Drosophila melanogaster: one gene and its partner. The gene in region 1 interacts genetically with each later gene. Each region holds a gene or a part of one and is shown on either strand. Other genes may lie near its edges.

Region 1 (7,571 bases):
TCACGTCTTCATTTAAAAGTGATGTCACCAGTGCTTTTATCAAAGTTCAATATTATATATATTTTTTCCCCTTTTTCTAGCAATCTATTTGGATTTTTTATGATATCCCCATCTACCCATGTGAACTGTCCTCGAAAAAACTGCAAAAAGCAGCTGCGCCAACTGCAAACTGCCAGTAATAAACAAAGACTTGCGTTTGCATTGTTGCAATTATCGCGTGGCCATCGGAAACATTTGCCAAAACAGATGGCATTTGGCCATTAAATACGTATATTTACATATATATTTATCCAATTGATCAGATGTGTGCGAAAAGCTGGAGAGTGCATCCATCCATTTGAGCCATTTGGATTTCCACTTACCACTTGTTGCGTTAGCATTGGGATTTCCGAAGAGAAGAACATGGTTATTATTTCAAAATTTATTTTACTGATGATTAGTACTAAATAATTTAGTTTTCTTGTAATTTACCATTACCACTTTCAATTGATTTTTGGTTTTTCTTGTTTTTCACTTTTGCAGTCTTAAAAATTTGTCTAAACAATACATTTTCCATGTTGCTTCAATTTCTTGTTTATTTTTCAATGAGTTTTTTGAATAGTTCGTTACGCTAATGTTAAATTTGCTGAGAGAATTTGCTATAAGAAAATGAATGCCAATAGGTGTGGTTGGTGGCGGGGAGGGCGGAACGCGGGGTAGGCGTGGCATATTGGAATCGAGAGTTGCATTAATTACAAATATACATATGTATGTGTGGCGTTTGCTCCAAATGCAAACAGACGCGGCGACAACAATGAGATTTTTAAAAAGTCAACATTTTCACATCGTATTTCCTCGCTGCGGGTTATTAGTTTCGTTTGTATTTCAAAAATATATTATGGAAAAATTGTACACTGATATTGAGGTATTGGAAAAAATCGGCATATATGTTAGGTATATGTATATCTGTATCTGCATATGCACTTGCATCCGTATCTGTATCTGTATCTGTATCTAAGTGTATGTACAGGACATCCAAAAGTGTAAGATTACGCTAGGTAACGCTACTAGTTCGACATGCAAAAATGGCCTTGCGCTTGGTGCTGTTCTTACTGGGTAAAAATCGAGGAGTGTCCAACGGAAAGTGGGCCAGTTGCCGCAGCGAACCGACCGGGAGGACATCGATTCCTGATCGTTCCTATTTATGGCAACGTAGGACATCTATGTAATATAACAAGTGCAATTCTACTACAAATGTATCGCTGAAAGGCTTTAAAATTGTTTCCTTTTATAATTGCTTGCGGTTGTTTCGATTTCGGTTGTTTCTATTTGGTTGGTTCTATATCGTTTTCGTTTCCCCTTTATTATGCACTATATAAAAATATCTGCTATCATTTATGTATTAAAATTCACAATTTTGGTTACGCTCCATTCGCAAAAATACGTTTAGTTTAGATTTCTAAATATTCACTGTCCCTCGAAAATCGCGTGGATTGGCATCCATCCATCCATCAAGTGTTAGCCTTTGGAAAGGGGCGACTAAAATGGGTTTTGAAATCAGACACACGCACATCCATATCCATTCGCTCATTGATAGTGGGATTGGAAAAGGACCTCGTATCCACTCCTCGCTGATATCGATTGAGTCCCCGACTCTCAATCCTGTCACTCTGACAATCACGCTTATTTAGTCGATTAATTAGGGTATAAATTTGAAGTAATTTACTAGCTACTGGTTGGTTTATAAATATAAATTACAGGTTTAATTACAGTGCTTTACATTGGAATTTTCGTTAGAGACGCTGAATATATTAGCTAATATCGTGCCAGCATTAGAAATACAAAACGGCTATATTTTACGGAATCGAAATGGAGGCTCGAGACACTGAGATTGCATTTAATGCAAACTGGCACCCAATACAAACACAAAGCACACACAGAGCGGCCAAATGGGCCAAATGGGGCAAATGGGACCAATGGGACAAATTGGACAAATCGGGGCCGGGACAAGACACACACGCACGGAAATATACAAAATACACTTTGGGCTTAGATGTACGATGCGAATAACAGCTAAGCAACACACGTCGCTGTTATCGGCTGATTACTTTTAAAGCTTTTTGGCGCCCAGCTTCATGGGGCCGCTCGCCCGCTGGGCCCGTCGCGCCTCCAACTCCCGCTGCCGCTGCAGCTTCTTCTCCTCCCGCTTGCGTCGGGCCTCGTCCAGTTTGGCATTGCCTGAAAAGTATCGGTTTCGTTAGTGGGTCGATTCACCAAGTGGGTCGCCAGAAGGGAAATCTGATATGGCAATAGGCATGTTAGCGTGAGGAACTCACCGAATCCCGATTCATCCAGTGGCTCAAACTCCCCGTCGGCCCACGAATCGCTATTCCAATTGGCATTATGCGTCGAATTATTCAAATGCGACGAAGGCGGGCTAATGTTATTGCAATTGGCAGTGGCCGACGTGGGCGATGTGTTGCTGCTGGATAGATTGGGCAGCTCCTTTGGCCGGAGCATCGACTGCTTCGACGGCGAGGTGACGTGCGAGTTGAGCTTGGCCAGCGGCTCGATCAGATCGTTTAGCTCGTGCTGCTGCAGCTGCTGCTGATGTGGATACTGCTGCTGATGTGGCAGCAGCGGGCGCTGATTTGGCTGACTGGATGACGTGGATGATATCGATTGTCTAGCCAGCTGTTGTTGCTGCTGCTCCTGCTCCGCCTGCTCCTCCTCCTCGCACTGAAACCCACCCAATTGAGTTAGTAACAAGTTTGAGTTAGTTAGTTTGATCAGATCTCACCGGATCCTCCTCGAGACTGCCCCACTCCTCGTTGTCCCAGCCGTCGCGCACTTCGCTCAAGGCATTGGCTGCCATCAAGGCGCCATTATTGGAGCTGGCCGCCAGCGGACTGCTGGGATCCTGAGAGGTCTAAAATTAAAATAATCGAGCATAATTAGCAGCATTCAAAAGCCAGTCGATTCGAACACCACTACTTACATCCATTTCGCCCCAGTTTTCGTTGTCCCAATCGTTGTTGCCATAATCGGAGGCCGAGGCGGAGGTGTCATTGCTTTCATGCTCCAGCGACGTCATTGAGGTAACACTGCTCGTGGTGGTCGATAAACTGCTGCTCGATGGTTGTTCTGCTCGCAAATGCAGGCCGGGTTAATTGCATTGTGGTAATTGCATAAGCGAGGCGAATACTTACCAAGCGACGCTGGCTTGGACAGATTGCGTCCAGTTAAAGGCGGTCGTGGTCGAGACGAATCACTTTGGCTGCGATAGAACTTTGCTGTGACGGCCGTCACCGCCCATCCCGCCCATGTGGCCGCCGCATTGCCAATCGAAGGCGTGGCCGTGTGAACATCCGCCTCTGCGAACGAAATATTTGATTAGTAACCTAGTTAGGATTTCATTAATTAACAATATTGTAAAGTACTCACCCATCGTTTCCCGCAAACTGGGATCCTCGGAGACCTTCTCCAGTTTGCCCAAGAAGCCTCTGATAGTTTTGAACGCCGGATCGCGCACCGTCTTCTCCGGATCAACGGTGAGGGAACACAGTGATGGCAGAACGCGGTTGGCCACCTCGCTGAGCAAAAAGTACTGCTGTGTGGCGGCCAGCGCCAGGACACCGGCGACTCTTGCCGGCGGAAAAGGATCCCGCATGGCACGAATGAAAGCGGAGACCAGCACACGCTGACGCACCTGCGGATGCAAATGCGGCGCAATCTTGCCCAGACAGACCGTCGTATTGGTGCGAATTCCACCTTGGTCATCCCGCGCCTGCAGCCTGGCAAAGTGACGCAGGACCTCCACATTCAGGTTGTTGTAGTTGAGCTTGGGCGCCAAGTGGATAATCGACTTGACCGTCTGCTCACGTATGGTGGCGTTGGTGTCTAGGAACCCGTGAGCCACCTGTGGGAAAATCTGATCGTTGACCACCTGTGGCTGCAAGTGCGCGATGAACAGATCCAGCTGCTGCAGCAGGCGCGATCGCGTCACTCGATCCGTGGAAGCGAACAGTTTGACCACGCAGGGCACAATGCGTTTCTGGTACTCCACCTCGTCCAGCAGTTTGCCCAGCTGCAAGATTATAACTCTTTGTGAAATCAAGTCATATAGGAGTATGCCAATTCAATAGACAACCTTAAACATGGGAGCCAGCACGGCAGAGCCCGCATCTCCGTACTCGTAGGCTGTTATCAGCTGTGGAAGAATCTTATGCCTGCACACGTTGTCCGGAAAGTTGTCGAGATGCGTGGTCAGACCACTGAAGAAGCGATTCTTCTCCGCCTTGTCCTTGATTTGGATCTCCTCTAGGAAGAGCAGTGTGTCCACCAAATCGTTTTTGAAAAAGCCTCCAGGCTTGCGGCAACGTGTGATTATATCCGCCGGGTTGGGACGATTCGAAGGCGAGGCGCCAACCAGCTCACAATAGAGCGATTGCAGGGACTTGGGTATGTGTTCTATATCCTTGAGGTTGGAGCGTTGCTTGAGCACACCGTTGAAAGCTTCCCACACGAGGCAGCCCAGGCCCCACATGTCCACGGAGCTGGTAGAGAATCCGATTTGAAGGATTATTAAAATAGTCTAAGGTGAGAGGATTACGTACCATTTGGTGGCCGCCTTGAGCTTGCTCGGATCGTTCTTTTCGGGGGAATCGTAGACCTCCAGGGTCACAGGTATTTTGGCGGGCGGCATGGGATTACCATCCGCCGCTGAGACGTACTCCAGGCTGCCCAGTTTCCATTCGCCGGAGGCATTGACAAACACCGACCAGGCGGAAACATTGTTGTGTCGCAGATTGCCATCGTTGTTGAGAAAGGACAGGGCGCGCTGAAAGGGATTGGTGACTTGGTTAGCTAGGGCAAAATATCAGGGATATGGATACCCACAGTGATCTGGAAGATGCCCCAGGCCAGGTAGAGGCCCTTTTGGACATTGTCGCTGCCCAGCTTGGAAAAGTAAGTGCCCAGCGGATCCACCGCCTCGGTGGCCACGTACAACATCTTGTCCGTTTCCAGCGAGTCCAGATACTGCAGGATGCTGGGGTGACGCAATGTCTTGAGGCGCTTCAGCGCCGCCTTGGCCAGCTCGCACTTGGTGTCGGATCCGCTACGGATGTCGTAGACGAACACAGACACCTCCTCCAGCGTCGTCTTGCGCTTGGCCTTGTGCAGCGTCCATATGGAGTATTGGTCAAAGCCGCCCACCGGTTCGCCAATGTCGTAGGGGAAGTCTTTCGAGGAGTCGCGCGAGAAGAACGACCACATTATGTGTTTTGCTCGGCGGCTCAATATTTTGTTACTGTTGTGTCACACAGCAACAGCAACAACAACAGCAACAACTGGCGATTGCAACTGCAACAACAACGCACTGCGCAGGCAACACACGCACGCACACACGCACGCACGCACTCACACACACGCACACCTTGTTGCTGCCACACAAAGGCACTGAAATCGGTGGAGCCCCGATTCTCGGTTTATCCTCAAGCACTATGCCTCTGTCTTTAGCCTTGGCTTGAGCCCTATCCTCCTCATGCCAATCCAGCCGCCTGATGTCCTTTATTTTCCTCCGATGCGCAGCAACAATTTTCCAGCTTTGCTTACGCACACACACACGCACACAGCTAACTTATCCGCTGTTTTTCGTCCCCAGAGGTCTCATCCCTGGGATCCCGGGTGTCCTGGACAGGGCGATCGTGTCTATGTGGCTCTGCTGCGGGTCGGGGGAGTCAGTAGATCGGATCGGGCGCTCGTCTCCGTCGAATTATCCTAATCTTTTTCCCGAGTACGTCAGCTTTTTTTTGCGTGAGGCGTTAGTGACGGAACTTCGTGGCTCGTGCGTGAGCAGCTGATTCCAAAACAGAGCTGGCAAGGAGAAGGAAAACTCTGGTCGAGGGTAGAAAACAAGCTGGCATCTTTGGCAAACCTCTTAATCCTTATCAATTATTATTCTGTTTTTAACTCTATTGTCATAATTATGAGTTACATAAATTCAAATTAATTTCAAGCTTTATTGTGCATTCTGAAGCTTTCCAAAGAAGTTTTGTATTTTATCCAATATTAATAGTTATATGTAGCACAAATCCATTATCCGAAATTTCCATAATTAAAATAAATTATTTAATATAATATTTTACCGTTCACCACGAATCGCCACCGCGTTAACCCGAACTGGGTGGCAACTCTGCTCGGTGTTATAACACTCGTTGTGGCGCAGCCAACTTAACGCAAGGTAGGTGAATTTTCTCAATTTTTGCCGAGTGAATCGAGCTAATTTTCGCGACAGGGAATCTTCGACAACTCACAGGATGATGATGCAACGCACCCAGCTCCTGCTGCCCCTGGCCATGGAGGCCACCATGCTGGCCCAGCAGCAGCGTGGCATGGCCACCCTGAAGATGATTTCCATCCGCCTGAAGTCGGTGAAGAACATTCAGAAAATTACGCAATCGATGAAGATGGTGTCCGCTGCCAAGTACGCTCGTGCCGAGCGAGACTTGAAGGCGGCTCGTCCTTACGGCATCGGCGCCCAGCAGTTCTTCGAGAAGACGGAGATCCAGCCGGACGAGAAGGCGGAGCCCAAGAAGCTGCTCATCGCAGTGACTTCGGACCGTGGTCTTTGCGGTGCCGTCCACACTGGTGTGGCCCGTCTCATTCGCGGCGAACTGGCCCAGGACGAGGCCAACACTAAGGTGTTCTGCGTGGGCGACAAGTCGCGCGCGATTCTGTCCCGTCTGTACGGCAAGAACATCCTGATGGTGGCCAACGAGGTGGGCCGACTGCCCCCCACTTTCCTGGACGCCTCGAAGATTGCCAACGAGGTTCTGCAGACCGGTTACGATTACACCGAGGGCAAGATCGTGTACAACCGTTTCAAGTCGGTGGTGTCCTACCAGTGCTCCACCCTCCCCATCTTCAGCGGATCCACCGTGGAGAAGTCGGAGAAGCTGGCCGTCTACGACTCGCTCGACAGCGACGTGGTCAAGAGCTATCTGGAGTTCTCGCTGGCCTCGCTCATCTTCTACACCATGAAGGAGGGCGCCTGCTCGGAGCAGTCCTCCCGTATGACTGCCATGGACAACGCTTCCAAGAACGCCGGTGAGATGATCGACAAGCTGACCCTCACCTTCAACCGTACCCGACAGGCGGTCATCACTCGCGAGCTGATTGAAATCATCTCCGGTGCCGCCGCCCTCACATAAGCGAATGGAATGTGTTCGAACAGCTCTAACGATTCATACAGCTAATTGCATATGGTGCCAGGCACCTGGAGCTACGCCTGGAGCCCTAGTAATGTTACTCTTTCAGAAAAACCCCAGAATAAATAGCGTGGAACGAACGAAAATAACTTTAACCATGGAGTCCTTACCTAATTGGAGTGGGAGGCAAGGAATTTGAAAGCACTTGCACAGGTCTGTTTGGTTTTTACACATTGATATCATGGGATTCGATTGCATTCTTATGCAAAGACCCATTGATATAACTTAATGTGCATAAAGTCTCAAATTTCAAGTGGCAATGACTAATGACCAAAAAACTATTGGAACGTTTATGTATATTTTGATACTCTTTAAACTTTC
Region 2 (4,713 bases), on another chromosome or scaffold:
CCATCGCACAGCCAGTAAGTAATTGTCTTGATTAAATAATTTAATCTGCTAAATGCAGGCATTTTAATCTAGAAAAGCTGCGACCATGTCAGGTGCACGCACTTCATTGGCACCCAGGAAATCATTGGTTATTAGCCTTCGGCCCGTCGGCATCGAATTGAGTTGGAATACCAGAGATGTAATTTCAGCCTGCGGTTGCAGGGCAGCAAATTGAATTTTGCTGTAAAGCCGCTCGTTGCCAGGAGGCAGGATAAACATGCTAAACGTATAAATTTTCAGCCTGATTGCATTCCAAAGTTTCGGGCCACTAGGACGGCATGCCAGAAACTATACACAAAAGATAATGCCGCTGCACAATTGGATTGCCAGCTGAGGGGGAGAATGCAGCACACAAACATTCATTTTCCACTCGACTGGAGTTGAGCGCGTTTCGCATTCGCATTCGCATTTGGTATTTCGCATTTCAGCAAAATTTCAATGCGACAGACAAGAGCGACCCAGACGGTATTGTTACGGTTACGCTTTAGGACCAGGACTAACCTGAACCTCCAATGAGTGACATTTATCTTGCGAGGACAACAAGGGGCGTCCTGTCGGAGCATTCATTTGCGTAATTAGTGGCCAAGTGGCATCCGCAACCTGGTTGCCAAATGCCAAATGCCATTTGGCTTCGGTCGCAGAGCAGAGGCCTCAAAATCACCGCAACTGCTGCTTGATTATTGGCCAGGACCAAAAGGAATGGCCAGCAGACAGGCGACGTCAGCACAATTGATAGCATACTTCTCAGGGCAGCGGCAGCTGAGGAGCAGCAAAGGTGAGTCCCTTGCCGAGCACTTGGCTCCACTGCACTCCTTAGCCACAATAGAATGTACCCACTTTGAATTTGTAGTAAACACGGAAGCACACTTTTGAATTTATAAACATATAATTAGCTACAAAAAAATTGCATTTAGTTGCTAAGCTTACCGCCAAGTAAAAATCATAAAATTTAAACTTTAGCAGTTATTGCCAATGTATCCAAAAATGTAATTCTCATATTTATCTCCTACATACAATATTTCAATTAAATAATTATAGTCGTCTAGTTATTGTACCTTATGTGCTCATGTTTTCGGGCTATATAAATCGCAGTTTTAAGCCAATAACATTTTCAGCAACGATTTCCCCTAGTGAATTAGGAAATAGTAATTGATTTTATGCGATTGATTCACTGCTGCACCAGTAAAAAGTATCTGCCTGAACTAAGGAAGTATAATTAAATTAGTTTTAAACTGGAAAGTAACCGAATCAACGTGGCAAGCAAGCGGAAAACTTCATTTGTAGCTGGGAATTGGCCACGTGGGTGGGCGGTGTTCCTTGGTTGGTTCGGGGGGGAGTGGGAAAAAGGAGAGCTACGTGAGAGTTACAAGGGCACGCACGCAGACACACGGGCACAGCGAAAAGCGAAAGCAGCGAGAGAGGAAAATCGGAGATGACGAAAAACAGCAACAGCAACGGCAATGGCAACAGCGACTAAGCAAAACATGGGCCAAACCAAAACAAAAACACACGATTTGCCGGCAAAATGCACGTGACACATCCTTTGGCGAGCTTCGTCGAGTGCGATCCTTCGTCGAGTGCCGAATGCAGCCGATTGCAGCCGAACGAAGCAGAGCCGAAGCTGCGCAGAATCCAACGAGAGGTATAAAAGCGAGACGCTCGCCGCACTCGTGGCATTCGATTGTCGTCGCTCGAGAGGATAGGTGCCCAGCTTCGAAAAGGATAAAACCCCGCAAAGGACTCTAAGTAAAAGTGAAACTTTAAAGCCAAAGAGCACACACACATACACATACACGCGCACACGTTGCATACAGTTTGGCGCGAGTGTGGGTTACTGCTGGCGGTACGCCAGTGTGTGTGTGTGAGTTGGCCAAGTGGATTTCTATTTTTGGCCCATTAAGAAGTCAACTCGTGAAGTGCAGTGGTGTTAAATTCGTTGCTATTTGAAAGGACTCATCGGGTTGCTTAACAAACGAAAACAAAACAACGCCGAAACTCTGGCAATCGCAATCTGATCCTTGGACATGTGGAGCAGGCAGCGAATGCGCCATAAGCCGCTTTGGGCCCTAATATCCTTGACCGTTTTGCTGCTGGTCCTGGACAAAAGCAATGCCAACACGGAGCCCGTCGAGACCAGCACCACATCCGAGCCAGGTGAGTCCTAATTGCCCCGCACACACGTGGGCTCCTCCGTTTGACCTTCACTCACTGGACGGACGAAAAGCGTAAATAAATTATGACGGGCCGCCTCGAACTCGGTCACTTTATTAAATGGCCTTCCACGCATCCATGGAAATCGGACAGTTCACAGCTTCCAGCTCCCAGCGATTATCACACACGCTCGAACAAAAAGGATATAAATCCGGAGTAGAAATGAATTCGTAACCGGGAGGGGAAGCTACAGAGCGCAAGAGCAAATAACTGGCAGCAAATGAAATATTTCACGGCATCTGCGGCACAAAGGCAATCAAAGCGAGCCGAGAGCCCATGGGCAACCTTAATCCCAATCAGAGTCAACAAACAAGCAAGGGCATCGCGAAAACGGGGCACTGCGGAAAATATTTGGCAACAAATTTTTAGGTTGCTTTTCATATTAAATTATAAAAGACATGCTTATAAGGTGCAAGGATAATGGCTTTTATTATGAATCATTCAAAGCAAGACATCATGAAGTCTTTAAAGTTAGTTTTCAAACGCAATCACAAACATTATTTTTCAGTAAGAATAAAGAAAAACATGATTGTCATGTATGACAAATCGAAATAAATTTTCGTATAGCATTCACATAAATATTTAAAATCATTATGTATTTCACACCTTGTAAAATAATTATTTAACCTTTATTTCGAGCGTATTATGATAATTTATTAGGTAAGAATTTAATGATAAATTTAGTTATTTTTGATCAAATATATTTTCAATTACATATGTATATTTATACATTATAAATTATGATTACTGAACATTTTGAACATGTGAAATCATTAATAAGGCGCAAACTTAATGCATACTTTTGATTGTTAGACCTTTGCTCCTAAATCTCAACGAAACTTAATTCCGCTGGCAGTCACCAATAATTTCTCTCAGTGCACTAGGGGAAGGGGAGCTGAAAGGTAGCTCGGGCAAGCGGCAATTGCACGAAAGTCCGTAATGAAGTATGGCAGGCAGGCCGTCCGAGGCTGGTAATAGAAATTAATAGCGTCATGTGTGAGTTTTGCGAAAGGGAAGGAAGACTTTGGACGGGGGAATGGGTGGATGTGGGGTACAAGGGACAAGGGAAGTGGGAAAAAGGATACAGGGGAAGTGTAAAGTGCCCGACAGCGACACGCAGATGCGCATAAAGTAATTAATTCACTCTGCCTCCATCGGCATCGCCATCGCCATCGCCATCCCTCCAGTCGGTTGCCTTCTAATTTCCCCTGGCAAATCGACAGGACCAGCTGTTGAGCTGCTGAGCTTTTGGGGTTTCGTCCTTCAGTCAGGCAAAAGTGCGTCGCACTTATCTTCTTTTTTTTTCTTTTGTGGCGGATATTGCGACTTCTTATTTCGCCTTTTGGTGCGCAGTTTGGCAGTCAGTCAGGTGAGAGGGGTGCCGATTCTTAGATTTTCTGAGATCCAAACGTTCGCTTGACACATGTGAAAGCGAGGGAAATTTAATTTACATGACTCACAAATGGAATCCATTTAATGTTGACTTATGGCGACGAAGCACTAGCGCACAGAGCACTAATGAAATATGCAGTAGCCGAGTAGCAGCTAAAACCAGAGCTGCCTTTCACCCATTTCCATGTGCTGTCCCATAAATCCTGGGTCCCCAGGATGGATGATGATGTTGGAACGAGTTGGGCGCACACTAAAAAATATGCGTTTACGATAATTATTTTCAATAGTAGAGTAGTAGTAAGCCACATATAAAAGAGAAGCTAACTAAAAATATCCCTTCGAAACATGATATAAATATTTCATAAAATAAATAGGAAGCCAAAGATAGATGGAACTTATTTCAGTGCACCACACACAGTGCATTTTGCGAGCCCATGGTCACCCATGTCTTTTTGCCACATTTTATGTGCTTAGAACAAAGCTGAGTCTGCATTATGCATGCAAATGGTATAACTGAGTAACGAACTGTCAAAATCGCAGTTAAAGCAAAAAGGAGTCGTTGGGAAAGGGATGTAGCCTCGGCAGGAGGAGGAAAACCAAATGACAAAAAGTCGCCAGCGCATTATGCATTTGCATTCCCATATATGTGAGCTAAAGGACAGAGATTACTTGACTTTTCCTGGGCTGCCTCAAAAATAATAGGAGGGGTAGGAAATGACAGGGAGCTCCCACTGTGTGGGAAATGGGAGTTGGAATTGTAATAGCTGCTGGAAAAGAAGAAGAGAAGTGCTTCTACCCGCCAGGGCATGAATGATTTATAGGGCGGCAGCTGTCGAGATGCCAACGATTATCGGCCATAAGCTAGTCACAGGACATTTTTGCACCAAGAGAAAGAAGAAAGGAGTCTTTGGATGAAACTATTGTTCACTGTGCACTTTATGACTAACAGAGTTCCGTGAACAATTCCATTCCGTTAAAGCTGCCTCATTTTCTTCTCACGAGCTTCACGTGAATCTGGTTCTTGGTCCGCAGTGTTAGTCCAGTTTGAAAAACAATAGTTTTCGGATCGAT

The links. A genetic interaction does not mean that the proteins touch.
Region 2: of yata (region 1) and hig, changing one suppresses a phenotype caused by changing the other (phenotypic suppression), as found in Drosophila melanogaster (one study listed by BioGRID).

The regions. Positions count from the first base shown.
Region 1 is NT_033777.3:29,747,476-29,755,046, reverse strand, and holds yata (yata), read right to left. Parts: upstream 5,829-7,571; 5' UTR 5,257-5,828; coding exon 4,879-5,256; intron 4,820-4,878; coding exon 4,596-4,819; intron 4,536-4,595; coding exon 4,130-4,535; intron 4,067-4,129; coding exon 3,424-4,066; intron 3,354-3,423; coding exon 3,189-3,353; intron 3,124-3,188; coding exon 2,978-3,123; intron 2,909-2,977; coding exon 2,780-2,908; intron 2,719-2,779; coding exon 2,316-2,718; intron 2,218-2,315; coding exon 2,090-2,217; 3' UTR 519-2,089; downstream 1-518. Other genes in the region: ATPsyngamma (ATP synthase, gamma subunit), read left to right, coding at 6,300-7,193.
Region 2 is NT_033778.4:9,244,245-9,248,957, reverse strand, and holds the start of hig (hikaru genki), read left to right. Parts: upstream 1-1,708; 5' UTR 1,709-2,063; coding exon 2,064-2,193; intron 2,194-4,547; exon of another isoform or gene 4,548-4,626; coding exon of another isoform or gene 4,627-4,713. Other genes in the region: Cyp4p3 (cytochrome P450 4p3), read right to left, coding at 4,627-4,713.